4 linked regions of the Rhinolophus ferrumequinum genome follow. The protein of the gene in region 2 interacts with the protein of the main gene of each other region in a pairwise test. Links are inferred from orthologs where the notes say so. Each region holds a gene or a part of one and is shown on either strand. Other genes may lie near its edges.

Region 1 (7,709 bases), on a different chromosome or scaffold from region 2:
TTAGAATGTAGACCAAGGAGACAAAACATATAAGAAGAGATGGGGTGGGGGGGGACAGAGACATCTAACCTGATAGGAATTGGACGGGGCCTAAAAGTCTTTGAGCTTGAGAATGAAATTGGAGTTGTGCTTTGGGAAGAGTAACCTGGTATCAAGGAGCAGAACTATACATAGAAGAGAGGCACCAGAGGCTAGGAAGCTAATTCAGCATTCAGGAAAGATGAAACAAACGGAAAAGAGAAGGGGAAAAAACTCCTATTTATTGAGCACCTGTTATGTATTAAACATACTCTTAAATGTTTCACATATTTGAACTGGGAAGTGACAGGGGTCATGAAAAGGAAGAAAAATATTTAAAAAGATACTACAAAGAATCAGCAAGACTTCACAGCTGATTTCGTGTTTACATATGTATATTTTGGTATATCCACATGTGCTTGGGTGGGTAGGGTTGGAAAAGAGAAACGTCCAAAAAGATGGAAGGTTTCAATTATTGGCAACCAGTAAGGTAACAGTGGTATCATGAGAGGAAAGAAAAGGGATTACACAAAGGAAAACAATGAGAAAGGAAGATGAGTCACATTTTTTAAAATGAGGCATCCAGGCAAAGTTGCTCAGTAAGCAGTAGGGAATTATAGGGCTAGAGGTGAAAGAGATGGCATTCCAGATGTGTAGATAGAGATTATCTTCAGAGAAATTGTCCTTGAAGCAATGAAATTGTCCTTGAAGCAATGAAGAAATTGTCCTTGAAGCAATTTGGTTATTAATGGAGAGACTGAAGACAAAGAGGACAAATTCTTAAGGATTCCTATATTTGCAGATCTAGAGCTGTGCTGTCCAATATGGTAGCCACTAGCCACACGAAGCTACTTAAATCAATTTAAATTAAAATGAAAAATTTAGTCAGTCACACCAGCTATCAATAGCTATATGTTCCTAGTGGCTACCATATTGGACATCACAGATATAAAGCCTTTCCTACATCACAGAGAGTTCTACTGGACAGCATTTATCTAGAGATTGGTCAGAGAGAACAACCAGGAAAATTTAGTCTCCTGAAGCCAGGGAAAACGTTTCAAGGAGTGAATGAGAAATATCAAGTTCTTCAATGAAAGCATATGAAGGCCAAAACAAACAATAAATTTAATGACCTTGAAAGCCATTTCAGATTAGTAATAAACTTAGAAACTAGATTATAAGAGATTTTGGATAAGATGGGTGATAAATAAATAGAGATAACAGGTGTAGACAACTCTTTCCAGTAATTTTTCAGTAAAGAAAAACAGAGAGAAATGGAAGCCTAAGGAAGCGTTGAAAGAGAATCAAGTTGTGTATGTACGAGCTTAATATAAGCATGTCTGTGGACTCACTGAAAGACTTAGATACCAATCAACCAGCTATCCACCAACTTTCGGAAAACCTTTCCTGTAGCAGTGACAAACAATTGAGGGGATAGAATCACAATTTTAAAGCTATAAGGAGCTTTAGCAAGCATTTAATCCATTGGTCACATTCTATAGAAAGCAGAGGTGCCCATAGTCACAAAGCTCAGTGGTATTAAAATTTAAGAACTCAGGTCTGCATGTCTCGGTTAGACATTTCACCTCACTCAACTGCCTCCTAAGATACAGACCAGAGAAGAGATGAAAAAAGCTTCTTCTATTGAGTTCCATTCATTTGGCAAAAAACAAAACAACAACAAAACAAAACCAAAAAAAGGAAATGTCTATGTTCACATATACAAAACTTTGATTTTTTAGGATGGAGACATAATTTTCTAACTTCTATAAAATTTAGGGAAAAAAAGAACTAAGCATTGTCTACTATTTTATAACAAACATTACACTAAAAAGACCTTAAATATTATTGAACTAAATCTTGAATATAACCTGAGAGGTGTGTGTTTTCGCTACTTGACAGCTTAGAAATTTATGCACCAGTTCAGAAAGGTCTAGGGCCTGCCTGCTGGCTCAGGTGGTTGGAGCGCTGTGCTCCTAACGCTGAGGTCGCAGGTTCTATTCCCACGTGGGCCAGTGAGCTGCGCCCTCTACAGCTAAGATTGTGAACAACGGCTCTCCCTGGAGCTAGGCTGCCGCTGTGAGCAGCCCAAGGTCAGTGTGAACTGCCATGAACTGCCACAGGCTGCACGGGCTGCTGTGCGCTGCCCTGAGTGTCTGGCAGCCATCATGAGGGGCCGGCAGCTGGCTGCTGTGAGCGGCCAACCACCGATCAGCGACCGACTGCCTCAGCCGGGGGGAGCGCAAGGCTCATAATACCAGCATGGGCCAGGGAGCTGTGTCCTACACAACTAGACTGAGAAACAATGGCTTGAATCGGAGTGGGGGGTGGGAAGGCAGGAGAATGGGGGGGGAAGGTCTAGTGACAAAGCTAGTGACATTCTTACTCAGTTCTATACTATATAATCATTTAGGAAATGATAGAGAAAATGGGAGAAAAGAAATTAATAGGCTCAGGAATGGAAATGGAATATTTAACAAAGTATAATATAAAAGTAACAAGAAAGAATTCATTTACTGGTGCCGATCTTAATAAAATCCAACCCTTTAGTTAAATATTAGTTAGTTCAACAAACGGAAACTCTAACACTGATTTCCTTTGGAGAGGGGAACTGGATGGCTGGGAAATAGGGGTTGGAGAAGGACTCTACAACTTTTGGATTGTAACCATAACAATCTGTTATCTCTTCCAATAAATAAGTTTTTTCAAAAACTTTAAATGTTTTACTTCCCACCAACAGTTTGTAATTACTAGCATTCTACAATCCCCTATGAGGCTGCAGAAAAGAATGGCAATTTCAGGAAAGAAAAATGTTAACTCTGTTCTGAAAGGCAAGGTAGAAAATACATGCCCAGGCAGAAGACTTGCTTTGGGGGGTTGGGAATCAGGACAGGAGAGAAGCCATTTGCCTGCAACAATTAGTATATGTGCAGCCAAAGCCGGCACTGCCTGCAATCATTACTGTTTGATCAATTCAATTCTATTTCTAACATTTTCAGCTCATCTCTTCAGTCTGTTGCTAAGGAACCCTGTTGCCTGAAAGCAATTTACTGATAGGAACTTACATAAGCAAGAGAAAAGCAATGATCCTGAAACTTTCAAATTACGCCATTCTAATTTAACCCATCTATTTTTTTGCCACTTATTATCTTTTATGTAGTGCTACCGTGATGTTGAAAATCCTTCGATGTATCCCAAAGGTAAATGATCACTTGTACATTTTTTTTTAAAGCAAACTCTTTTTTTTTTTTTTTTTAAAGATTTTATTGGGGAAGGGGAACAGGACTTTATTGGGGAAGGGGAACAGTGTGTACTTCCAGGCCTTTTTTCCAAGTCAAGTTGTTGTCCTTTCAGTCTTAGTTGTGGAGGGCGCAGCTCAGCTCCAGGTCCAGTCGCCGTTGCTAGTTGCAGGGGGCAAAACCCACCATCCCCTGAGGGAGTCGAACCAGCAACCTTGTGGTTGAGAGGACGCGCTCCAACCAACTGAGCCATTCGGGAGCTCAGTGACCCCTCAGCTCAGGGTGCCATGTTCAATCCTAGTTGCAGAGGGCACCGCCCACCATCCCTTGGGGAACCCAAAGAACCGAACTGGCAACCTTGTGGTTGAGAGCCCACAGGCCCATGTGGGAATCGAACCAACAGCCCTCTGAGCTAGGAGCATGGAGCTCCAACCGCCTGAGCCACCGGGCCGGCCCCACTTGTACATTTTTAATAGAAGGGTCTGCAGACCTGAAATGGGAGCCATAGTCCTAAATTTTGATTCTCTATTAATACTTGTCTTTTCTTCTTTAAAATACTATGAATTTTAAACAATTCTTGGCAAAGGAAACTTTCCTATTTTAAAAGGCCTAGTGACAAAGCTATTAGATATGTAATATTAGGTTGGAGCAAAGGTAATTGCGGTTTTTGCAACTTTTAACCTTTTAACCAATTCCTTTTGCACCAACCGAATAGCTGTGGATTGAACTTTCTATCTGAGGGCTGAGGGAAGTGGGCTGAGACATCTGAAGTAAAACAAGCACGGCCGTGGGCGGATCACAGCACTGAGGAAGGAGGGGGCGAGTGCTCCAGGGAGCGTGGTGTGGGCTGGGGTGCCAGGCGGAATCCAGTAGAAAACACAAACCCGTCAAGGAAAGGTGGGAACTCTGGGTCTTTCACGTTTCTACCCACTGAATTCGAGAACCTGGTAACAACACACAGATGTCATCGCTTTCGCAATTGGTGCAGACCGGGAGCCGCAGGGACCACATTCAAGCCGTCTCAGCTCAGCCAACCTGGATTTGCCGATTTCCATCCAGTCTGATTTCTGTCATCTGCCGTTGCCCCAATATCCTCAAAATCATCCAAAGTAAAATTTGGCCATGGTAGAGATAAGATTGGTGATACAGCACGCTATCTTCAGCTTTGACGTCTTTCCTCTCACATCTTTAAAAGTCCTTCCAATCCGCTGGTTTGCAAGACACGCGGAAAGAGAACTAAGCTGACTGCCGCTGGACTCTAAGAAGCGCCAACGTGGCGGTAACTAGACAACGAGTATCCAAATTCCACCAATAACCTGGGCAGTTCGGCCTATGTCCCGCCTACTACTCCTGCCAGCCAATAACGTTCACAATTCCTCTGCCAGCCCCGCCTATTCCTAGGGCTGCGGTGGAGCCTACGGTCTGGTCGCCTGCACACCGTAAAGCCCGCTGTACACGCGCAGCTCCTCGGCTTCGTTAGACCGGAAGGCCCTCTGCCCTTTCCTGAAGGTCCAGGGAACGAACGTCATCTGCCACCACTGGAGGCCCAAGACCCCAGAAGTTAATCTCACCAACCGTAGCGGGGTGAAAGCAAATTGAAAAGGCTGCCCAGGACGCCCACCTGACCCCAAGTGTCCCTCAACCGGAAGTGATTTTCTCCTCTTCCTCCTCCCACCCACGGTTAAGAAGGGAGGAGAAGGGCAGCCAGGTCTGGCCCGGCATGCCTCGGGCTTCCGGTGACCTCTGGCCCTTTTCTGTCGCACGCTCTGCTTCCTAGCGTGCTCGCTCGCTCACTGCCTTCCCTTCCTCCGGTTTTCCTTCGCGCACTACCTGGTGACTGTGGCGCCCGCGACCGGCAGAGAGGCGGTGGCGGAGGACACCCGTCATGGCCGCCTCTAAACCTATAGAGGCGGCGGTGATCGCTGCGGCTGCGCCCGGCTCCGGGAGTGGGGTGGGCGGCGGCGGAGGTGCGACCGCGGGCCCGGGCGCTGGGGGCCTGCCGCGATGGCAGCTGGCCCTGGCGGTCGGGGCGCCCCTGCTGCTGGGCGCGGGTGCCATGTACCTGTGGAGTCGGCAGCGACGGCGCCGAGAGGCCGGGGGCCGAGGCGAAGCCGGCGGCCAGAAGCGCCACAGTGAGCGGAAGACCCCGGAGGGCAGGGCCAGTCCGGCCCCGGGCAGCGGACACCCCGAAGGCCCCGGTGCTCACCTGGAAATGGTGAGAAGCAGCGCTGGGTCATGGAGGTGGAACCCAGCGATTGCAGCCTTTCCTTGATGGGTTGTGCCGGTCAGGGGGCTTCCCATCAGACGGCAGCACGTGGGTTTAGGGAGACTCGTGTCTGGCTACCTTTATAGGGAATGGAGTAGCCGGAGGGCACAGGCTAGCGGGCTTCTTTGACAGTTTCCTTTTGGTTTCAGAAAAATATTTTTCTCAGTGACACAGCATTTATCCCTAGTGTTGTGGGTACGGTGGACATTTGCAAATAGTGATGATTGTGTTTAATTAACTAGTGAAGGAAGCCAAATTCCGTTAACGCTTAATACCTGGTAACATGAATTGCTTTGGTGATATCCAAGGCCTAGAACTTAATCGGTAATAACCTTTTAATAACGAGGCACTCCCCTTTTTTGAAGTGTTTTTGGTTGACAGTAAAAAATGGTGTTCATTGGCATTTGTTTTTTCATCTGTGAGAGTGCTTAAACATTTTGGGTAGAAGCATCTTCAGTTCCATTTTTCATTTTACCTGGAAATTGACATGACCAAGGTTGACATTGGTGAAACAGATTCTCTGATGTTAGGAGAAGCATTGGAGAATCTGGTGAAGTGCTTTGTATGCTTTTGTTGAACTATTAAATCCTTTTGGTATCTTAACAGCTGTGCAGGAAATTGGCCAGGCTGCATTTAACAATGTAGGATGGGGTGAGAGAGAGGGTTTTATCCACCTCTGGGATTATACAGTGGTAGTTACAGAGTAAATCAGAGGTCAGAGAAACCACTGGTCAAATAACTCCTAATTATATATACATTTGCAAGTCATTTCCACGTTATACTATTCTGAATGAAGACATGTTTTCTTACTAAGTAGTCAAATTAGCTTTAAAGGAAATTTTGATGTGGGAACCAACTACCATAATTTAGTACATACTATATGTCAGTCATGGTCAGTCATGAGAGAGCCAGATAGTTTTTCTAATAGAGTAAAACAAACATTGCCCTTTTTTTTTGATATAGAAAATATGCATTACACTATGGTGAAAGAACACATGATCTGTGCGAACTAGGAGATGTGTGCTTTATGTTGGGCTCTCCAGAATAGTTACCTTGGGAAAGTCATTTTCTCTCTCCGGCCTTAGTGTCATTCGGTAGACTAAGTATTAAAATACTAGATTAGACTGTTCAGCCCTAATGGTGATTCTGAGTTGCTAACGAGAATGGTAATCATGGGCATTGTTTGAATTAGTCATCACTTGTCTTACGTCATTTTCGTATGTCTGAAATTCTCTGGTCATTTCCTATTTCATTTGTCAATTTAGTTTTAATCACAGAAGAATAAGAGATGAATGAAAAACACATAAAAGTTCTGTTATATAACAATCACCAAAAATAAAGATAGCTTCTACACATGAAACGAGGTTTTGACGTTTCATTGAAGTTTCAAATACTACCCCATCTCACCCATTTGGTATTTGATAGAATTTAGCAAACTTTCTTGCAGATTTTAGATTTCCTTAAATCCCATTTTCAGTTTTTCAGCATTGTCTGTGTCAACACTGATGATTTTTAAATTTCATGTGTTTTCTAGTTTTATCAGAACAATTCTTAAGTTCACCTGACTGCTATTAAAAATTAGACCTTAAGAGTAACTTCTTTGTGTGCTCGAACTGCTTTAAAATGATTTATTTTTGACCCAAAATAAAACAGAGTTAAACACTTGTACATAGTGTTGTACTTGTGGAATTTGTGGGCTTTTACCTATAATCTTGCTTTGAGTTACTAGGTGATTTTTTTTAGTAAAGCGACAATAAGAATGCCAATTTTTTAGTGGAAATTTGTATTTTAACTGTTTGTGACCAATAAATACTAAAAGACTTTTTTTATGGTCTAGTCGTTGGAGTTGTTATTTGACTATCTAAATATAATTTGTTTATTATCTGTAGTTGGAGAAATTGCTCTGTATTTAAATAGCACCTTTAAGTTGGCAACCTCAGTGGATTTTGTAATTAAGGAAGCATTTGTTTGAACTAATGGAAGAACTGGCAGAATCCTGATGCCCTTATTGTTCTTTCTTCACTTGAACGATAGCTATAATTTTGAAGGGAGTGAAGGAATAGACATATTGTCAGCTTAGGGTTCATTATCAGTGAATAATATGGGAAGATCAGTGGTTTTTGTCATTTGACTTATGTTTGCCTTTATGTAAAATTAACTAATAAAACTACTGGATTTCTCTCTTG
Region 2 (7,180 bases):
AGAGATGTTAAGTTAAACAAGGTACAGAAGAGACTATGTTCTAATTATTATTTGTTTTAATGAATCAAAAATCTTCTTAAAGAGTAAGAGGTTGAATTCAATACTAGCAACAATGTTGCACATATATCGATGCACTTCAATATCTGATACTACTCAAATACCAGTCCAGTTCTATAGGAGATTTAGAATATACCACAAATATCACCATTAAAATTTAATTTTTAAACACAAAAATTGCTAATTTTTAAAAAGGTTGAAATATATTTTTAACAGAGATGCCAAAAGTTATATTTCCTAAGTTGAATTTTCTTAAGGTTTTTCCATTCTGCTTTATATTATCTTGAAATCCTTCTCCATACTTCTCACAAAGTCATAATTTTTCACTGACTTCAATTAAATTATGTTTCTGTAGCTGTCTGGGTCAGGGCATTTAACATATCAATCATTATCCAAGTGAGAAATGTAAGTGCTTTTGAAACAGTCGCAGTGCCAAGAAGGAAATCTGGGTTTTAAAAAGGAAAAGGAAGGTAATTTTATTGGTAAAGAGGCAATACCTTACTCCTATTTTACCAAGTAACTCATTTCCTCAAAAGTGACCCAAGATTTAAATAAAGTGGAAGAGTACTATCTGCATTAAAGAAGGTATAGCAATTAAAAAGAGCACAGGCATGAAAGGGGCAAGTTCTGAGTAGCACAGGTCTTTAAATAGGAAAAAAAAACAATTCTCAATATATAGTTACATATAATTTGATCTCCAGCTGATCACTGGGTATAAGCTGTAATGCCTTTCCGGGCTCCGAAGTTTAGTCATGGAAACAGAAAACCCATCACTGTAAGACTTCCCTTCAATTGCTTCCATTTTCACTTACCTTTACCACTATTCAACATAACCAGGCCCAAAACGGACAATTAAGATTTTTATTAAAATGTGCCCACCGACAGATTTAGGCAATACAACAAGTTATATAAAATAATTCATTGCACACTGTACTCATGATTGTTATGGGTAAGGTACTTTTTGTAGGCTGGGGCATGGGTTTAATTATTTATGCTGTAAAACACACTTACTTGCACCGCGTGATGAAGAACAGCTGGAGTATGAGAAAGAACATTCTTAAAAATCCACCTTATAGTCTTCATGTCAATGCCAGTTATTGAGAGCTGTCTAATCATCACATCCAAAGATCACTCTTCCCACTTGTGTTCTGAAATCCCGAGTAAAAACTAAACAAAACTACCTAAGCATATTTCATCCGAATAGTTATAGAGCCATTTATTAGATAACAATTTAGAATTTAGTGATGATTTTTAGATCTTAGGTCCCTGTCTTTATATAGCTTTACCATAAATTTATTTCTTTTAAAATTTTCCACGCACTAGTTAAGTTGAATTAAAATAACATTTGCACAACTGTCTTCAAAATAAGGTATACTTTTTTTTCTGTAGAATACTGACAGCAAGGATTTTGAAAAATTTCCTCTACTTGGTTTTGATTCAAATTTGTGCTTACAAGTGGATCTTGTGTAACTGTCACCTAAAAAGACTCAAAAGATTCATTAAAATGTATACATTTTTCTTAACTTGGCAACTTTGAAAAAATCATGCCACGCTAGAAAATTAAGAAAACCTGACAACATCCTTTGGTTTCTATCATCGCTGCAAAGGCAGTGTCGTTAACTGGTGTGATTCACCCAGTAGTAGGTAAAATGTTTTACATGTTAACACTAATTTAATAAATAAAAGACTTAAGAAGCGCTTATCAGTGCATAGAAATCACACATTTAAAAAAATCCACCTCTCATCTTTCTGGATAGACGACATCTGACTTCGAAAGCACTTGTTGTAGTCAAAAGTGTTAAATGGTACGCATCAGGCATGATCTCCAAATAAGCTCATCAAACCGATACATATTCTAGAGCAAGTCTCTGTCACAATAAATTTCCAAATTTATTGGAAATAATAAACCATGGTGGGCACTGAGAAGCAACTTTTCTAACCACACTAAACATTCCCACTAATTTTCAGAGATAACCCTTAAAATAGCATTGGCTTAGCAATCCTGAAATAGAGGAATTTTGCTAATGTTGTACATTGTAGTGTTTATAAACAATTCCAATAGCCACTTCCAAAGCTTTCACCTAGGTCATTTTGTGTTCGAGAAAAAAATAATTTTGCATAATGAATCGTTAATTCATCATGCAAAAAGGTTTACTTGTTGTTATTATTTACTCTTAATTATTCTTTCATCTCAGACCTCCGATGAGAGATTTAAAAGAAAAAATTCGAGGGAACAGAAGTTTAAATCCTTCTGAAGGCATCTCTGATGAGCCCAACCATCATCACCAGGTGCTTTCCATTGGAGTCTAACGCTCCGCTAGGGTTTCCCTTAGAGTCCCACAGACAGTGGGTACAGACTACAACGTCTGTCTGTCCTAAACTGGAAGACAGCCGCCAAGGTGCCCCGAGGGACGGAAAGCGACGGGGGGGGAAGTACTTCCCCGGGGCCTTCCCACGGACCCCCACGGGTCTGGGGGGCAGTGCGCTCGCTGTGGGATCGCGCGACCCTGCCTTCACTTAGGGAGGCGCGCAGGCGCACACCAGGTTCCCTCACAAAGTTGTCTTCACTAGGAAGCCTGTCAAACCAGGGGCGGAGTCGGGGCTTAGAACGACAGACACACTTATTCTGCTGGACGACGGCGGGCATTGGGAAGCTGGCGGCGCTGGCTGAGAACAGCACAGACACTGCCACCCTGCCACTGACAGTTGGCACCGGTGGGCACCCAGGGATCCCCGTTGTCCGAGGCCTGGAGTGGCACCACAGCTGGGCGCATGGCGGCGCAGAGAGGCTGTACCTGACATGCACCACGTACCGATCATGGTCACTGGGCAGATGGAGACTGCTGGGCTGGAAAGGGCCTACGCGCATACTGTCGCCCGCGCGCGCCTCCCACCCGCGGCTCTCTCTCGGAGGTTAAAATATCCAGGACTCCCCTCCCCGAGTCTGGCAGCTGGAACGCACGCGCAGACGGCGCGCAGCCCCGAGCCTTCTGGGAGTTGTAGTTTTAACACAGCTTTTCCTCTCTCGGCTCGCCGCCGGCGGCCAGCCGCCCGCCGCTCTTCCGGTTTAAGGCCCAGAAAACTTTCGTCACGGCGGGGTGCGGCCATTCGGCCTCAGTGTTGACGCGTCGCTTAGTAACCAGGAAATTTAGCTTTGGAAGCTGGTTGTAGCCCCAGCCAAGGTCCAGCCCTCTTCCCGCCCCTCCCCTCCCTTCAACTCCCTTCACCTAGGAGCTGCCAAACACCTGGATCAACCTGGGCACTACGAGGGGTTGAATTTTTACCATTAACGTAATTTTTTACAATTTTTTCCCGACCTCCTTCTCACATCCGTAAAACCCACTGATTCTTTTACCACACGTTTTTATGAGAACCAGACATTTTCTAGGAAGATGGTGGCAGAAAAAGAGACCCTGAGCTTAAACAAATGCCCAGACAAGATGCCGAAGAGGACCAAGCTGCTGGCACAACAGTCGCTCCCGGTGCACCAGCCTCACTCCCTGCTTTCTGAGGGCTTCACAGTCAAAGCCATGATGAAAAACTCGGTCGTAAGTGATCTTCCTGAATTGAATGCCCTCGCTCCGAATCAGGTGACACCAGGTTATAGAGGTTGGCCGGCCCTAGCATGGATTCTGAGCCCGTGCCCTGGGTGGGCTTTGCCAAAAAGCGCCATTACTTGGCCCGTGGCAGACAGTGCCCAACATTGTGTGGAGGTCCAGGCTAGGTTGTTAGAAAGGGTTCGGAGCAAGTGATATGCCCGTTATAAGCACTTTCCTAATAACTCATGGTTTCTAGACCACCCCAAATTACTCTTAAGCTATTTATGATGCAAAAAGACCCCCTTTACTTTACTTACTGATTCCTAAACTAGCCCTACTCAGCAAAGGGCCTGATGGAAGGTGAGTCATTAGCAATCTTAAACTCTTTCGCAAAATTTGACATGTGCTTACGTACAGCTGGGAACATAAACTCGTTAGATAATCTATAGTAAAAAACCTCATCAATTCAACTGAGGAGATATCAGGATATCCTAACATTTACCCTAAGACAATTCTTTCTGACAAAATGGTGTCAGCCTGTTGGAATACTGCAAGGCAACTTAATATGAAGTGTTTTTCCAGACAGACCTTTTAAATAATATTTTTTTTTTAAATGCAAGCTTTAGTTCAGTATCTCTGGCTATTAATACAATGCATATTTCATTTCTATTATTTGTGGTAGTTAAAATATTCTCAGTACTACTAAGGAAAAAAAGGTTTAAAATGTACACAAATGGTTTAGCTACATGTGTGGTAGGTTAAAAAAAAAGTCCTTGGATCTGCTGAACAGCTTTAAATTTGGTATGCTAAACCTGGTTTTACTACTGAGTAAGCACCTATCTGGGAAAGAGATATAAATAATAAATGCAGCTTTCAAATTTGTATAATCTACACTCTGGGAGGCTCTAACATATTGCATAGCAACTCATTATGTTAAATGAATACTATTGCTTTCCAGTGTCACATTATTTGTTTTACATAAATGTTGCAAACCTAATATCTTATTCCTAAACCACATCTTTAGAATACATGAATGGAACAGATTACCTCAGGACCCCTAGGCCAGATTTCCAGGTTGCTACACAAAGTGATGTTCTGGTTATGGAATGTGTGTGAGTTGCTTCACAGTAGTTAAAATTATCGGAAATAGACTAAAGTTCCTGCTTGTTGTACCTGCAGTCATTTTGCATGTATTTCAAAGATGACTATCAGCAATACAGAATACCATAACCGTTCAAGCTAATTATTTGTTTTCTTCTGCATAATATTTATGATTAAAATCTTAGTGACTTTTCAATGTTATATGTTTTTCACAGACGTAAAAAATATTAGTTAGATTCTTTCTTTTTATAAACCTCTGTTCATAATCATGTTTTTAAACATAGCTTTACACTAAAGTCATAGTTCTGGAAAATCAAATATTTCAGTATTGCCAAATGTAATAACTATGCTTACAAGATTAAAAAAAATCTGCTTAACATGAAGCAGCCTTCTTTATAAACAACTTACTTGAGATAAATTATCTTGTTTTCATATTTTTTAGGGAAAATTTCATAGTGTAATATCTATGTAGTGTAATATTCTCTGTTGAAATCTTCAAAATAGGATGGATAATTCTTTCACTTCATTTAGTGGAAATAATAATTTTTAGATGCAAACATTATTCATCCATTCATTCATTCAATCAACAACTCATTTTTCTTTTTAAGCTAAGAACTAGTTAAACACAGTTCTGGGGATTTGGCATCAGCAAAACAAAGCCCCTGTCCTTACTACTCCCAGGAAAAACTACCAACAACAAGAAAATCTTGATAAAAGAAAGATAGACAATACCTTTTATACAAACTAACTTCAATGGTATAGGAAATAAAACCCTTTTCTTTTCCTGTCCAGTATTTATATTTCACCGCTTCTGTCTGCAGCAGTTTAGACCTTTTGGCATTATAAGTCAAAATGCCTGTCGTTTTTGAGGTTTATTTTGATTCAGAAAACAATATGCTGATTTCTCCCTTTTCTTAATTACAACCCCTTGTTCCAAAAGCCAACTCCCAAACCGTTTTTCTAGTGTTGGGTCTTGCCTTCAGTTTCCTCTTCCAAACACTTGCCTGTTAAATAAGTCAGCATTCCAGTGCTCTTCCACAAAAGACATAGAGAACTATACCTTAAGGTGTTATGTGGAGACTCCTGTTGTTTCTTTGCTAGAGCTCTAGTAATATAAGTACACAAACTTGATCATAAACAGATTCAATCATATGAGCTGTGCAAGCAGAAATCCTTCTTTAGAGGCATAATTTATGTACGGCAATGCAAAATTATTTCTAAAATAATAATAAATGTAAATGGCTAGTGTTTTAAATCCCAATGTCAACTGTTGCTCTTCAAGTAGTTCCTTTACTTCCTTGAAATTGTTGTTGCATTCTATATGAAAACAAGCAAGGACAAAAGTTCTGCAGTCAGAGAATAACATCCAAATTCATATTGTTATAATGTTTGCCTGAAAAGAGTGATATGAGATACAGAATTTGATGATTTCACCATTCATTCTCCCTTGAAAGGCCTTGTTTGTGGTGTGCTACAGCCCATATCTAGAGACCGGTAGCTCAATGTTGTACTGGCCTCGTCTCCACAGACAGCAAATGCGTGCTAGGCTAATTAATCTACTTTATGAATAAACAAGTTAGGATATGGACCCAAGGTTATGATACAGAAGCTGACTTCAATTTAATCTTTATATTACTCTTTTCTTTTTCAATAGACCATAGATGTTTTGTGCTCAAAGCTCAGCTGAATGGGAAAAATAATAATTATTAGTTTTCTTATATTGAAACTTTTATACTTACAATCATATAGTCATTCAACACACAGTGGTAATGGTCAATATTTATAAATTACATATTAAGATACTATAACAGATACCAAATAACAATAACTAAGATGGAAGTTGCTTTGCCCACATAAAAGTCCCAATCTGTACACAATCTAGGGAGGTTTGGCCCTGCTTCCCCATGAGGTAGGTCCAGGGACATAGGACGCATGTATGTTCTTGCTTCATATCCTATAGGATGGTGCCCTGGATCCCAGTGGGCTTCCACCACTGGGGCAAATCCCTACTGTCAGGAATTAGGAAAGAGAAAGCAGAGAACTTCTTTTATGGGCATTACCCAGACACTGCACCCCACTTTCATTTACATCCCACTGGACAGAATTTATTCATAGGCCCATATTTTCCCCTTTTTGCAAAAGCCTAGGAGATATTGATGCTTGCAGCAACTCCAGACCTCTATACATGCTCTATCAGGAAAAGGCCTAAGAAATTATGTAGTTCCAAAAGGGCACAATCTCCAACACCTACTTCATGCAGGAAAAAAGGAAAAAATAGGTAAGGAGCAACCTGCAAGAAGAGGCAGGAAGTCATGGAGGCCAAGCAGCTTCCTTTGAAGGGAGGTCCCAGAAGGTACTCGTCACTGCCGCTCACATTCATTGCCAAAACTTCGTCTTATGGCCACCTCCAGTTGCGGAGAGGCTGGGAAATGTAGTCTCTGACTGTTAGCTCTGTGTCCAGCTAAAACCTGAGGCATTTCATT
Region 3 (7,055 bases), on a different chromosome or scaffold from region 2:
TTCGCCATAGGACGATCACCTCTGTCTTCTTGGGTAACTGCCTTGGGCCGGAGTGTCATTTTCTTCCCTCTCCTTGAGCCAGTGGCGTGGAGGTTTTCTTTCCCCATGTGTGTAGTAAGGGGCTGGGAAGACTCCGAGGATGGGACAGTGAGTCCCTTAGAGGTGGCCGCATCAACAGCTTCCGGAACGGGTGCACCTGTGTCCTGGCTGAGTCCCCTAGAACTCAAAGACAGACCCTCCACACCCAGCTGATGTCCTGCCGGCACAGACTGGACTTCAAGGCCAGCTGCTCTGCCGTGACTTGGACCCCAGGACAGAGACACGGACCCCAAGTCTTCCACCTGGTCCGATTCTGGTTTCACGGCTGACTCTGGGGCTACGTCACCTTCCTCCTGGTTGCCCTGGTGATGTGGGGATTCAGTCGCCGTAGTCCTTCTCTTCTTACCGGGCAACATTTTTAAAGTCCTACTTTGGTTCCATCCTGAAAGGGTAAAAGCAGCTTCTTATCACCCTCGTTTTAATTACGATAATAGGATTTCCTCACGCATCTTTTCACTTACTCGTGCTCAATCATGAACACAGGACTTCACACCAAGTACACAATCTCCCGTTAGGGGAGAGTTGAGAGACAGCAGTTAGAGGGCCTGAGTTGAAATCCTAACTCTACCACTGATCAGTAAGTTATCTTGGCCAAGGGACTTCACCTCTCTAAACTTGTTTCCACAACTGTAAAAAATAATTGTTGCTACCTCATAGAGCTGTTATAATTACACAGTACGTGTTCGTTATTATTATTACCATCAGGAGGATAGAACAGCATGATCCTGAGAGCAAACTGTGAGTCAAACTGTCTGGATTTGTTTCCCGAGTCAGCTTCTCTCCAGCTTTGTGACCTTGTGTAAGTTTCCTAACCTGAAGCTCACTTTCTTCAGCTATAAAATAAAAACAGCACTTACATCATGAGATAGTAAATGATTCGATCAATAAATGTCTTCTGTTGTTGTTTCCATAAAGGGGTAGTTCCATTAACAGAAACAATCCAAAAGCAAAGTGTGGCTGTTTGAAGAGGTTAGGCCATGTTAACAGAAATTTCATATTGAAAGCAAGAGAGATTCCTACTGTTCTCTCTAGTGTTACTTCTGGACTCTCGCCCTCAATTCCAACGATCACATTTTGAAGGCAACGCTAACCTAAACTGGAGAGTATCTTCTTTTACGTTATCATAGCACCTGTTCGCAAATCTCTTTGATGGCACATATCACTTTTGTGATTTGCTTCTTGTCTTCTTCCCATCTCCTCTCTCCCCAAAACTATGCACTTTTTCAAGAGAACGACTCTTTCAACCAGTACTACTACTCAGCAGTATCTGCCCTATAGTAGATGCTCAATGAACATTCCCTGAATAAATGAATGAAAAGAGGGCATGAATTTCCTATTCAGTGCTTATTCCTATGCAACATTTAGAGCAAGAGTTAAGCATTATGTGGAAACTAACTGCATCTTTCTACCCCCCAAAAAATCTTTCCTTGATGAAATAGGTCCAAGAATAGAATAAGCTGCCGTGTATTACAGTGAGTCTTCATCACTGACAATGTTCAATGAAAGTCTGAACGCCCATCTATCAGGGCACCAGATGAAAACATGGACCAGAGGGCTGCCAAACCAAGTTCTTTCTAACGGCGAAGAGTCTGAACTATAAGGTTAGTCTTGAACCTCCCTAACTCAGTTTCCCCAGGACACTAGGAAAGATCTCCCCCCAAACCCCCATCAACAACGCCCTTATCTTGATATTTAAAGCTCAGTAAACACGTGAAGGTTCCGCTGATCCCTGTAAGGGAGGGTGGTGAGTGGGGAAGGGAGTAGCTTAGGCGAGTCCTATGTTTCACAGATGAATTACTGAGGTCCAGAAAAGGAGGGAGAAAGGGGAGAAGGGGAAGAAAGGAGGCAGCCACCATCCAGTCAGCAGCGCACAGGTCTGGGCTCCAGGCACTGAAAACACAGCACTAGCTCTAAACAGCGCCCCCCCCCACGCCCCTCCCCCGCTTCGGACACGAGTCAGACCAACAGTGAATGAATGCGAATCCAGACGCAGCCCAGGGCGGGCCCCTCCTGGAAAAAGATTTCAAAAAGGGACCCTAACTGCGCTGTCGACCTAAGCGGAGAGCCCTGGCCCAAGTCCCCACTCCCAGCAAAACACCCTCACAACACTACCTTCTACCACGCACCCGGCGCCAGACCCGCGCCTGCCCTCAGCCCCGACCCCGCCCCAGCCCTCAGACCCGGACGCCCTCAGCCCGGCCACGCTTCGCCGGAACGTCCAGCTCCCACTGCATCTTCCCGCCCCACAGCACAAGACCCAGTGAGCTCACCAGCCGGCCTGATCCCGCGGAAACTCGGTGTCGGCACCACCGGAAGTCAGCCAACGGCAGCGACTTACGTGCGCGACCCCGAGTCGCGGTGCGCGGCGTCAGGTCGTCGAGGAGCATGCGCAGACCACGAGGCGCCATCCTATGTAAGGGCGGAATGAAGCCGAAAGACTAGCGCGTCAGTTGCTGGCAAAAAGAAATTTAAAGGCAACGCTTCGCTTTCTCGGTCCATGGAGCGATCCTACTCAAAACAAAACTGGGGGTTGAGATTCAGTGGTTTAGTTAGACAACTAATCCTTCTCGCGGCGCGACACCTGGAATACGGGACCAAGGAAGTGGAGAATTCATAAAATTTCAGAAAGAGGAATCCCTGGGTTACAAGCAGTGCAGTTTCCTGAATAAAGCTGTCTCGGACTCAATCCATAGTAATCATTCATATCTGTATAATACTCTGCATTTTACAAAATGCTTTCACTTACATTATCATAGGTGATTTGATCTTCACAATAAACCCAATGGGACAATGGATATTATTAAACCTTCCAATTTACACAAGACAAACTTCTAGCTCAGGTGGGAAGGTGATTTCACACAGCTATACACAGCTATCAAGGGGAATCAGGTATCCTAACTAGCTTCTTCTCATGCATCGTTCTGGTACCTGGGAATGTGCCTGGGGCATAGTTGATGTTCAATAATTCAACACCTGTGTTTTGAACGAATAAATGACTCCTAGAACCGCGTTCTTTCCGCTCTTCTAGGACAGAATGTCAACGCTGGAAAAATAGTCAACTCTCTCATTTTACAGATGAACCACCAATAGATATTTATCCATTTAAAACTCTGTTTGACCCCATCCTGTCTGTAAACAGAATCCGACAGGATGAAAAGTATCCACAGTCAAAATGAAGAGTGATTTGATGGAACCATGGACAACCTGCCAGTTGTCTGACTCTACCTGCACCACCCTTACTCTCCCAAATGCCAAGACAGTCTCTGGAAGCTTGGAGTTTCATTTGAGTCCTGCTTTTGAACCTACAGAATACAGATCTGTTGGTTTGCTCTTCCCCCCGACCCGTCACCCCCCCCCTTTCTTCTCCCCTCCCTCCTAAGCAGCCCTAAGCTCCTGAAACTTTTGGAAGAGACATATCCAACACTAACTTTGGCACTCTTCCTTAGTCTTTTTATAAAAACAGCTTTAATGTACACACCACACCACAAAATCCATCCGTTTTACTTATAGAATTAAATTATTACAGGTAAATTTTTAGAGTTGTGTGTCCACCACAAGGTTTGGTCTTTAATTAGAGTTTCTTAAGTTTAAGAAAGCTTCCTATAACCTTTAGTGGTCTCAGAAATGCATAACAGTAATGGCAATGGATACTGAAATGCAAGCAGCATTGAATTTTGTTATTCCAAAATCCTAGGCACCCAGAACATTCTGCTGCTATATTAAGCCCAGGGAACTGGAATCACAGGATCTATAGAACCTCATATGATAATGTACCTACACTTCTTACTCAGGCCTCAGGGTTTTCTCCTTATAGACCCACAGCCTGTCAGTGGGCGGAGTCTCATTCTTAGGCAATCTCGGCGATGGGAGGGGTCCCCTCCCGGGGATCTTCCGGAAAGGGGCGGGCCTTGCCTTCCGGAACTTTTCGGACAGAGGCGGAGTCTCCTGCCGAGGGCCGTTCGGAAGAAGGCGGGGCCTACCTCGCATCAGGACCAGTCTGCCTGCACCTGCATCCTTAGCTCAGAGCATCCCTGGAGCATCTTAAGAGGAGACCGCAGCTGGCAACCAGGGACCAGACCGTCGCAGGAGGCGTCTGCCTGATACCTTCCCCCTCCCCTGACCTAGCAGTCTACAGCGGCCGCTTCCGTACTGACCGGGGGTTCCCAGAGTTTGTCTGACCGCTGCAAAAGCATTTTTCTAGCGATAACCTGTGATTACGACATGGCTGAGATCACCAATATCCGACCTAGCTTTGGTAAGTACAGCCCTTCAGCATCTTAAGAGGTAAACTAAGCCTGGGGTAGTCGACACCGTTGCAAAGCCAGGAGAGCCCAGCAGCTGGACAGGGAATGGAGCCCAGACCAGGGCCTTCAAAAGCCATCCCCGCTAGAATCGGGCCTGTGTTGGTGAGTAGCGGGCAGTGGACAGCGCCTGAACTTGAGCTGTGGGCTGCAGGGCTGGGAAGGCCAGAGCCACACAGAGGGTGGGAGGTCCACGATGCGAAAACCTTGCGTGGTGCACCATCGGCATTGCTGGAGGTGAAAAACAGCGAGCTTCGGGAAGACGTGAACCCCTCCCTCTGGGGGAGGAGAGGTGGGGTAGGCCGAGCCCTCCCCCTTGGGGCACGCAGGGCGGTGCCCCTTCCTCCCTCTCCTACTCCTCAGGGATGCGGGGGAGGGAGGTGGCAAGGGGGATGGGGCATCAAGATGGCAGCTTGGATACTGGGGGTTGTGTGGCTAGCAGCCAGGGGAGGCGGCGGCCTCTGGGGAGAGAGGTGCGGGGGTGGGGAGCAGAAAGGAAGCCACTCCTTAAGCCGGTCAGCCGGATGCTGGAGCTGGGAGGAAACGTGAGCACTGCAAGTTGTATTCTGCACCGTAATGGTGGGTCCGTCCGATGCCTCCAAATGGCGCTTGGTGCTGTTGGGCTGGGGGATGACGTGATGTCTATTTCTGGGCCTCCTGGCAGCGCCTAGGCGCTTCCTCCCGGGCCTTTGTTCCCTGTTTCCCTGGGCTGGCTTGCTGGCTTTTCAAAAAGGGGGACTCACCCGCGCTGGCGCTGGCAGGGGCCCGATCCAGGCCCGAGGGGGAGGGGCGAGAGAGGCCGAGCCCGGGGGAGGCCGCTTTGTGTACCAGAGAAAGCATTACGTCATCTCGGCGCCGCTGGTCCCCGACCCAGCCCGATGGGCTCCAAGATCCGTTACATTCCCTGGAGCAGAGTAGAGTGGAAAATAGGGGGACGATGGGAAAGAAAAGCTCGAGAAGCAAGTTTTTCCCCCTTTGGAGATTCCCCCAAAATAGGCTAGGGCAACAAACTTCCTGTGCTGTCCTCTCCCGGTGCAAAAACGAAAAAGAATTACCCAGCTTCTCCGTCAGTTCGACCCCAGTTCGGGTGGTAGAAGCCAGTCTGAGTGCTGTCAGCCTAGGGTTCCTTCATACCCCTAAGAGATCCTAACCCTCAGACAATCTGGAAGGTTAGGGTGGGGCCACAGTCCCACCAGCAAATGGCTTTCTCACTGCCCAGTAAGGGGTCCGTGGAAATGAGCAGAACTCTGTGCAAAACTCCCTCAATATCCAGAGAATACAGGAGAGGACATGGCGTCAGGGAGAGTCTGCAGACAACAGATCACACCTCTAAGTACTCGTCCCACGGACTCCCAAGGCTGAATCTTTATGGTGTTTCTTCCCCTTCACCTTTTGCTTCGTTCCTCTTTCAGTCCCAAATTTCCAAAACATGTCCCTTTTGCGGTCGCACAGCCCTCCATGATTTTCTTTCTGCTCTTTCCTTTTCTTCTTATGCCTTCTTGCCAACATATTTCTTCTCTAATTGCAGTCCCAAGTTCCTTGGAAAGTGAATGGTGTGAATTTAATGTAATGATTTCCTGTAGAGGGAATATTAGTGGAAAAGAGAAAAGAAATTATATCAGCCTTTTACATACTACATTTCATTAGATCCTTACAAATAGCCTCTGGTGTTGGTATTATATATATTTGCCAGATGAGGAAACTGAGGCTCAGGGAGATACAATAAAGTCGAAGAAACTAGTGAGGTGATGGTAGGATTTAAACCAATATCCAGTTGATGGCAAAGATCATTCTCATTTCACTGTATCACACCGGCCACCTTGACAGGAAAAGGCTGTTTTAATAAAGGGAGTGTCAATAACGGGTCAGATCAGAAGCTGACTGAGTTGGGCATAGTCCCGATGTGTCGTGCAGGTCTTTTGACCTGTACAGAGGGTCTCCCACATAGAGAACTTCCACTTCTGACTTTTTCAAGTGTCCCAGAGTACTTCATTTCAAATGCCATAGCCCTTGGGAGCTACACCAAGCCAACACTCCATTTTCCATGACCGTGGAGGACAAAAGGAGCAAGCAGCCCCCGTCACTGCAATTTACAACTACTTTGAAACACATTTCAGCCATTAGGTCCAAGTTCTTTTTCCCACCGAGCTTTTGACGAAAGCAAGACAAAGGGTTCTGAGTTTCAGCATCCCTGATTCTTCTTCTTCACTGCCTTGAGTATGGGGGAGATAGACAGGGCTTATCTCAACACTCAAATACAGAAGAAAGTGGGGCAAAGGTGGGAAATAAGGTGGGGTGGGGGCGAGCTCTGGGGTGATCAGTACATGGATCTGTCCGTTTCTCTCCTTTTCCTTCTCTGACCAATGACAGGTGAGAATCCTTCATGTTCTCTCTTACCCACCCCACCTCCATTTTCTAATACTAAAAGTTGAGGCCGGGGAAGCAGCAGTGGGTTCTCTCAAGATCACAGAGTAAATTTATGGTAGAGCCAAAAGGGTCACGCAGATTATCTCCCAACCTGGCCCTTTGGAGCTCCCTTTCGAATAAGTCTCAAAAATATACCTGTCTTGGTAGTCCCCTGCTTTCCTCTTCTCATGGAGATAACCAATGTTCAGTTTCATGAATCAGTAGCAAACAATTTTCAGGAAAGTCCCT
Region 4 (7,017 bases), on a different chromosome or scaffold from region 2:
GAAAATCAATGTCTAAAATGGATTAGTACTCTCTACATAGGAATGGTAGGTAAACTGGAAATACCAGTGCAAAGAGATTCCTTATTTACTAGAAGAAAAGCAGCCCTTCTTCAAACTTAAAAGAAAAAAAAAAAACGACAGACTCTCAGTGAGTGATATACATGTATAGACCTTTGGAAATCTTGTATATCATGAAGCCAATATCCCAAAATTCCCAAAAAGGGAGTCAACAGGACATTTGGCACCGTAATGATTTGACAAAATTCTGTGCACAGAACCTAAAATCCCAGGCAGAAGAAATTCCTTGCTTCTCTTCTGCGTTTTATACCTGCAATGTGCCTCCAGGTAACTTATTTTATAAGAAAGCATTTCTAATTACCTGCTCACCCCTGAGATTCTGTGTAGTCTACTGTCGCAGGTGAGCAGCCACTGGCATATGCTGGGCACAGTCTCCCCAGCGTAGATTGCACCCTTATGGTCCTGTAACTGCAGAAACCTATTACAGGAGTTTCAATATATGTTAGTATTTGTATTTGGGGAAAAACAAAAAAGTTGTGATGCGCCTGCTGTCGGTTTTCAAACAGAACCCAGATGCTTCAGTAAGGTCAGGACTCTGACCTTGAAGTGGCCCTGCCTGCATTTGAAGGGTGACCTACTCCACACTATGGATGAATTTAAGGCAGAACCACAGATGTGCTCTCCCAGGAATAAACCACACAAACACTGGGAAAATTATTAACTCCTCTATCATACGTGTCAGGTATTAGGTTGAAACTCTGATTCATTCCTGACAAAAGCACTCACCTTTTTTCTCTTATCAGCTTCTGGGGATGCCAATTACATTCTAAGAAAGATAGTAATTATGATTTTTAAATTTCAGATCCTATCACGGATGAAGAGTGGCATACAGAATCGTGTATACATTCATTCTGTTAAAAGTCTATTTCACCAACTAAAATTCAATAAGACGAAGAAGGCAAAGGAGAAAAGAAAAACAGAGAAACAAGACAAGTGTTATACTTCTTCAAACGTGGTCAACAATTAGGGTATTTACAGTCTTCATTTTTTCCAATTACTCATCAGCCCCTTTGCCACGTGGTATTTAATTTCCTGGTTTTTTGTTTGTTTGTTTGCTTTTCCTGTTTGAAAACTAACTACCAATTTAAGATTTAGGAAGTAAGCAATAGGTTTACAGCTCTTACAAATTTAGGAACGAAGATATCACTGACCAAAACAAGCAAAGCACAGAGAAATACACAGAATGATCCTTTTGTGGGGTTTTTATGAAGCATATATCTTGTTTTCTAAATTTCTAAAGCGTAAGTATGAAACAGTTTTAGCTAATAATACTGATTTTTGATTAAGAAGAGCTAGCATGCAGGGGGAGGGGAAGAATCACAGCAGGGGAGACTTTAGCTTTTCATATTCTCCCTTTGGCATGACCAGAAACTTGTCTTACTTTATTTGCCTTCTTCTGCAACTTATTTTTTTATTATTATTTTTTTTAATGCAAAAAGTTCAAGAACTATCCTGAGAACCTCCATCCATCACTAACGTGTTCAGAGAGCCTCTCCAGTAGAGGGCATGACAGATTCAACATAGAGAACATATAGTCAGTTTACCAAGCCGCTCTCAAGCTGTGGTTTTGCTATGTAATATTCACAACCTATTGTATTGTTTCTTTCTTCACCACAGAATGGAAAATATGTGTCATTTTGATATTGAGCAATCCCCTTTACCTAAAAGCCAGTTGCAACAAAAAAAAAAACAAAGGGAAGTCATCAAACACTGTAGTTTTCGCTTTAAATATAGGTCTGCTTGTCTTTAAAAAACACAGTAGCATGGCAATCTTTTCACCAAAATGTTTCTTAGTCTGTAGAGGAGACTGGCTTAACTCTTAAAATTGCCCATAGACAAAGAAATGTTAAATTACATGCAAATTTATCAATCAACCTCATAATTTTCAGGAAAAAAAATTAATTTTCTGCCACATAACACCAGTTGTCAATCAGAAATGGTTTATGAAAAACCAAATCATTATCATTATATTAAACACTTACTGAACCATCTAGAATATATTTAAACTAGTGGCTTCCATGTATACATATACTCATATACGTATATTTACATTTGTGAGTATATTGAGATGACTGAATTTTCTGACTTGGAGATTTCTGAAAAGTTTAAATGTCAAACAGTTCGCTTATTTTCCGTATTGCTTATTATCCAGAGAGCATTTACTAAGTATCTATGAGCTGGAAACTACAATTCTTTGTGACATTATCTTTCTCTTTTAATAGTACTTATACATTTATAAACTAATTAACTCTTTGAGTTAATCCTTTAATGATTTTTCTACCTTGAGTAGCTATGCTTCCAGATACTTCTTTTTTCTTACATAGGCGAATTAATAACAAGCGTTTGTATAGTATTTTAGAACTTGCAAAGGCTTTTCACATAAGGGCCACATGATATATAATGAGGTTGGCAAGAAAGATATGTTACTCTTGGTACAAATAAGAAACTGGGGCTCAAGGGGCTGTGATGGGATTGTCCCAATGGTTACTTAGCATGTACTATCTAAGCTGAGATTCTAATTGGCGCCCGTGACACAGCCCAGCTCTCTCTCCTAACCGCTTCTTTGTCAGAACACCTGGCCTTTCCATTATTAGAGTTATACTGTTCAATGTTCCAAGTGAAAAATACATTGAGGCGTTTATTGTCAAGAAAAAGCAAGTGTATGCACATTACCCATATTTAATAAACATTGAAACATCGAAGTAAAACTAGATGTAGGAAATATTCAGCAGTGTTCTTCTAGAGATGAAGAGCATATGCATGACAAAAATGACAATTTTACATTTCACAAACATGTTTTAAAGTATTTATTACTGAAATCTAAATGATTTTTCTTTTCAAAATAAGGTACATGGCTTTCATCTTCAGTAATAATTGCAGATCTTATCCTCCATTTCAAACTTGGAGCTCCAACTATGGGCAGTTCACTGTAAGAATCTGTTAAACCAGTTCCAATTTTCTTTTTACAGTTCTAAGGCAAAGTAGGGAGAATATTTGCAGCCTCGTCAATACCTTGCGGTTAAGCTTACTGCCTACTTAGATGCTTGAGGGGGGATGCACTTGAAAATCCCCGTGTTCGATTCTAATGAAAATCTGAAATCCAAGCATTTTGTACGTGAGGTTCTCTCTTTGGCCTTACCAGTCCAATCACTCAAAGCCTGCTACAGCAGACATGGCTTCTGAAGAAATAACAAATTAAATGTATTCAAGCACACTGTTAGCCTCTCCTCTTCGTCCTGCTCTCTCGCCAGTTCTTCGGTGTTCTAGCAAATCGTAAGACAGCCACAAATGAGTGACAAGGAACCCCAGCATCTTTGCCCTCTTAAACGAGAATGATTCTGGTGCATTACAGCTGCCGAGGTCATGGTGTCTCCCTGTACCTCATCATCACATGGGTGATTTCTGTTCTGGAAAGAGAGGCAGCCAAGGATTCCTGAGGAGTCAGCATACAGTCGCACGAACTGTCACGTATCTAGTGGTGATCACGAAGGCACCCCTAGCTAGTAGAGCACTGTCGTCTAATCCAGTCACTTTCTCCTGTTCCTTTCCTAATGTGCATTCCAACAGGGTTCCAAGATGCCTTTGGGGGTCAGCCCAAGCAAGCATGGCAGGATTGGAGCGGGCCCACACCCCCGCCCGGCCTCCACGCCTGGCCAAGGTCGCCGGCGACTGCTCAAAGCCAATGGTCTCTGCCAGCCTCACACCGCCCAGGCCGGCCGCCACATTCCGCCCCAATGCGCCACAAGCCGGGGCTGCAGACGTCAGCAGCGCCCTGGCTTCCAGACCTTTCTGCGGGGACCGTGGCCGCTGCAGGGCCGCTGCAGACCCGCCCCCGGGCCCATCCGCAGCCGCCCAATAGGCGCCCTCGGGGGGCGGGCCCGGCGTCGTGTGGCCACGCCCCCATCCTCTTCGTCCTATAAATACCGCAGCGCCTCTCCAGCTGCAACCAGCGGCTGCACCGGAGGCTGGATGATAATGCAAAGTGCCATGTTCCTGGCTGTCCAGCACGACTGCGGATCTATGGACAAGAGCTCCAGCAGCGGACCCAAAAGCGAGGAGAAGCGAGAAAAAATGAAGCGGACGCTGTGAGTACGGCGTTCTTCTCTCCCCAGCCACCCTTGCAGACCTAGCTCTCTGGGTTTGCTGCAAACGCGGGGCTTTGGCACTCGTCTTAAACAATAGGAAGCAATGTAGCCTGCGCCTCTGCAGGGGGAAAAATGTAGAAAAGCTTCATTTGCTAAGTAAGATTAAATCTGTGTGGTCGGTAGTTTCCGCGAGTGAAGGAATGTCGGGTAGAGTTTAGGAGCTGAAGAAAATTCTTGATCTAGAGGCGGCGGTAGATGCGCTGAGAAAATCGCGGTTGGGTTTTTGTCCCCCTGCATTTAAGTTGACAGCAGAGAATCCCGGGCTGAAGGGCGTCCCCATCATTCATACGCTGCATTTTCACTTCTGATCAGTTTCCACAGACAGCTCTACAGGGTTGGAGGGATTTTTTTTTGCTCGTTCGGATATGCCTTTTAAATCCACGTTTTACTTTTAATGTTATGATTTAATTGATCATGCGCTTACATGAATGTTGTAGTCAGGAGGTGGGTGGTTCCATCACACACAGCCCTCCTGGTACACAGCTTCTGGCTGGTCCAGAACCTCAGCTCCAAGGGCTGAAGGGAAGTGAGCACGGACTGGCTCCAGGCAGCTCCACTGTCCGTTTCACCAAGTGTGAAATGCCTTCGGATTGTAATGAACGTTGCAGAAAAACTGCTGCCTTTTGCGGGCTAGAAATAGCATCTGCCTTTTGAACTATATGCAAACTAAATTCATTACACTATGCTAGTCATTTCAGGTAATCCTTCCCTTAGTTATAAAACCTAGTAGTTATGTGCAGATGAATGGGTGAAACTAATTGTGTTCAATACATAAGTGTAGCGATTAAATGTTAAATGTGTCAGAGTGACTTGAAGAGTTCTTGTTTTGTCTTATTTGGTTTTGTCTGTATTTACTGGGCGACTTTGGTAAAAATGCCATCAGCTGCTGTAGCAATGTCAAATGTTGCCACTTAGTGAATCTTTTTTTCCCCCCCTTTTCTTTTTAGATTAAAAGATTGGAAGACCCGTTTGAGCTATTTCTTGCAACATTCCTCCTCTCCTGGAAAGCCCAAAAACGGCAAGAAAAGCAAACAGCAAACCTTCATCAAGTAAGTTGAAAATCTTGTTCTTGCAAATTTGACGAGCTAGCTGTTGAGCGGAAAAGGGAACTCTGAAGATCTCCAAGAGTAAGCTGATGTGCACCCTTTCTCTTGCAGGCCTTCTCCTGAGGAAGCCCAGCTGTGGTCAGAGGCTTTCGATGAGCTGCTGGCCAGTAAATGTAAGTTACCTTCTTGAATTTAATCCCTTTCAAGCATCACTGGAGTCTGGAAAGGTTCTGTGCACACTGCACAAGAGCAGCTTGCCAGATGCCATTTGACTTGACAGTCATCGTGACACTCGCCTTTATGCCCCAGTGTCTACCCATGGAAGTGCATGCTTTGTTCAGGGGGGAAAAGAAAACTTAACCTAAAAAAAATTAGAGTGGTGGTTGCTCTTGGTTAACATTGAGTCAACTTTTCCATTGCATACAAGGTTTTCAAGAGGCTTAGCTCCCAGAGAATTTAGGGCTCCCCTATGAATATTTCCACTGATGGCAAAGTTAAGTATTTATATCTTTGTAGCAGTGTGCCAGCTGAAGCATTTTGTCTACTGGCATCTTAGTCTTTAAAGAGCTCAATTCTGAGGATTACAGGTTTGAGTGATATCGAGGAATTTACTATCATCTCTAAATAAGAAAACACAGAGGCAAGGGAGTGGGAGTTATAGGAAAACATGTAAGGGATTATTTGGTCATTCCATTCACAATCTGAATGTTTTCTTCTCCCTCTCTCCCCCTTCAGATGGTCTTGCTGCATTCAGGGCTTTTTTAAAATCTGAATTCTGTGAAGAAAATATTGAATTCTGGCTGGCTTGTGAAGACTTCAAAAAAACGAAATCACCCCAAAAGCTGTCCTCGAAGGCCAGGAAAATATATACTGACTTCATAGAAAAAGAAGCTCCAAAAGAGGTAAGAAAAATAAGTTCTTATTTTCAGCATGTTTTGAACATTGTTAGCTCCAAAGCGAAACAAAAGACTTGAAGTCAAACTAAAAGGGCTTGGGAGTGGGGGGAGTGTTTTTTTCTCTTACCTTAGCTTTCAGTTAAGTTGATTAAGTTTCTTCAATGACTTGGCTGGTGAAGCTAATCATGCATTATAGTTTTTAGTTTTTGTTGGCAAATATTAAATACACAGTCTTAAATCTCTGACTCTGAATATAGAATAAACCACTTTTTGTGTTTTATTTCAGATAAACATAGACTTTCAAACCAAAACTCTAATTGCTCAAAATATACAAGAGGCTACAAGTGGCTGCTTTACGACCGCCCAGAAAAGGGTATACAGCCTGATGGAGAACAACTCTTATCCCCGTTTCTTGGAGTCGGAATTCTACCAGGACTTGTGTAAAAAGCCACAGATTCCCACGGAGCCACACGCTACATGAGATGCACACAGGACCCCCAACGTGGAGGACATTTCATTTTTTCCTAAGGGAGAAAGGCTGACCTGCCCAAAAGACTGCCCTTGAGTTCAGCCTGGGTGCTGGGGAAACATCACTCAGAACTGTTGATTCGAAGTTGGGTAGTGAGCAGGGAAGCCCGTCGCCGTCCAGAAGCAGCATGTGTCGGGATGGCCTCCATGACTGCAGGCACACAGAGAGAACGTGGTCTGAGCATGGTGTGTCTCCCACCGTAAAAGCAGGGATGTGAGACTGAAACAGACGGTGTAATACTCTCGATCCAAAAGCATTTTTACCATCAGTAGGTCTGGGATTATGTGGCCTTAGCAGCTGGATGTACATCTTTCCCCCAAATC

The links.
Region 1: the proteins of PRKN (region 2) and TOMM70 come close enough for resonance energy transfer, tested with the Homo sapiens proteins (3 studies listed by BioGRID). The link is inferred for Rhinolophus ferrumequinum from reciprocal best matches to the Homo sapiens genes PRKN and TOMM70.
Region 3: the proteins of PRKN (region 2) and SYT11 interact in binary tests that used the Homo sapiens proteins (3 or more experiments, as listed by UniProt). The link is inferred for Rhinolophus ferrumequinum from reciprocal best matches to the Homo sapiens genes PRKN and SYT11.
Region 4: the proteins of PRKN (region 2) and RGS2 interact in binary tests that used the Homo sapiens proteins (3 or more experiments, as listed by UniProt). The link is inferred for Rhinolophus ferrumequinum from reciprocal best matches to the Homo sapiens genes PRKN and RGS2.

The regions. Positions count from the first base shown.
Region 1 is NC_046285.1:29,616,682-29,624,390, reverse strand, and holds the start of TOMM70 (mitochondrial import receptor subunit TOM70), read left to right. Parts: upstream 1-4,707; 5' UTR 4,708-5,142; coding exon 5,143-5,472; intron 5,473-7,709. Other genes in the region: LNP1 (leukemia NUP98 fusion partner 1), read right to left, coding at 4,293-4,361. UniProt on the Homo sapiens protein: Acts as a receptor of the preprotein translocase complex of the outer mitochondrial membrane (TOM complex). Recognizes and mediates the translocation of mitochondrial preproteins from the cytosol into the mitochondria in a chaperone dependent manner.
Region 2 is NC_046286.1:103,102,092-103,109,271, forward strand, and holds the start of PRKN (E3 ubiquitin-protein ligase parkin), read right to left. Parts: upstream 3,024-7,180; 5' UTR 2,878-3,023; coding exon 2,871-2,877; intron 1-2,870. Other genes in the region: PACRG (parkin coregulated gene protein), read left to right, coding at 3,450-3,605. UniProt on the Homo sapiens protein: Functions within a multiprotein E3 ubiquitin ligase complex, catalyzing the covalent attachment of ubiquitin moieties onto substrate proteins. Substrates include SYT11 and VDAC1.
Region 3 is NC_046305.1:536,879-543,933, forward strand, and holds the start of SYT11 (synaptotagmin-11), read left to right. Parts: upstream 1-4,046; 5' UTR 4,047-4,320; coding exon 4,321-4,354; intron 4,355-7,055. Other genes in the region: GON4L (GON-4-like protein), read right to left, coding at 1-455. UniProt on the Homo sapiens protein: Synaptotagmin family member involved in vesicular and membrane trafficking which does not bind Ca(2+). Inhibits clathrin-mediated and bulk endocytosis, functions to ensure precision in vesicle retrieval.
Region 4 is NC_046310.1:5,165,060-5,172,076, reverse strand, and holds the start of RGS2 (regulator of G-protein signaling 2), read left to right. Parts: upstream 1-4,003; 5' UTR 4,004-4,047; coding exon 4,048-4,163; intron 4,164-5,170; coding exon 5,171-5,272; intron 5,273-5,380; coding exon 5,381-5,442; intron 5,443-6,004; coding exon 6,005-6,171; intron 6,172-6,451; coding exon 6,452-6,646; 3' UTR 6,647-7,017. UniProt on the Homo sapiens protein: Regulates G protein-coupled receptor signaling cascades. Inhibits signal transduction by increasing the GTPase activity of G protein alpha subunits, thereby driving them into their inactive GDP-bound form.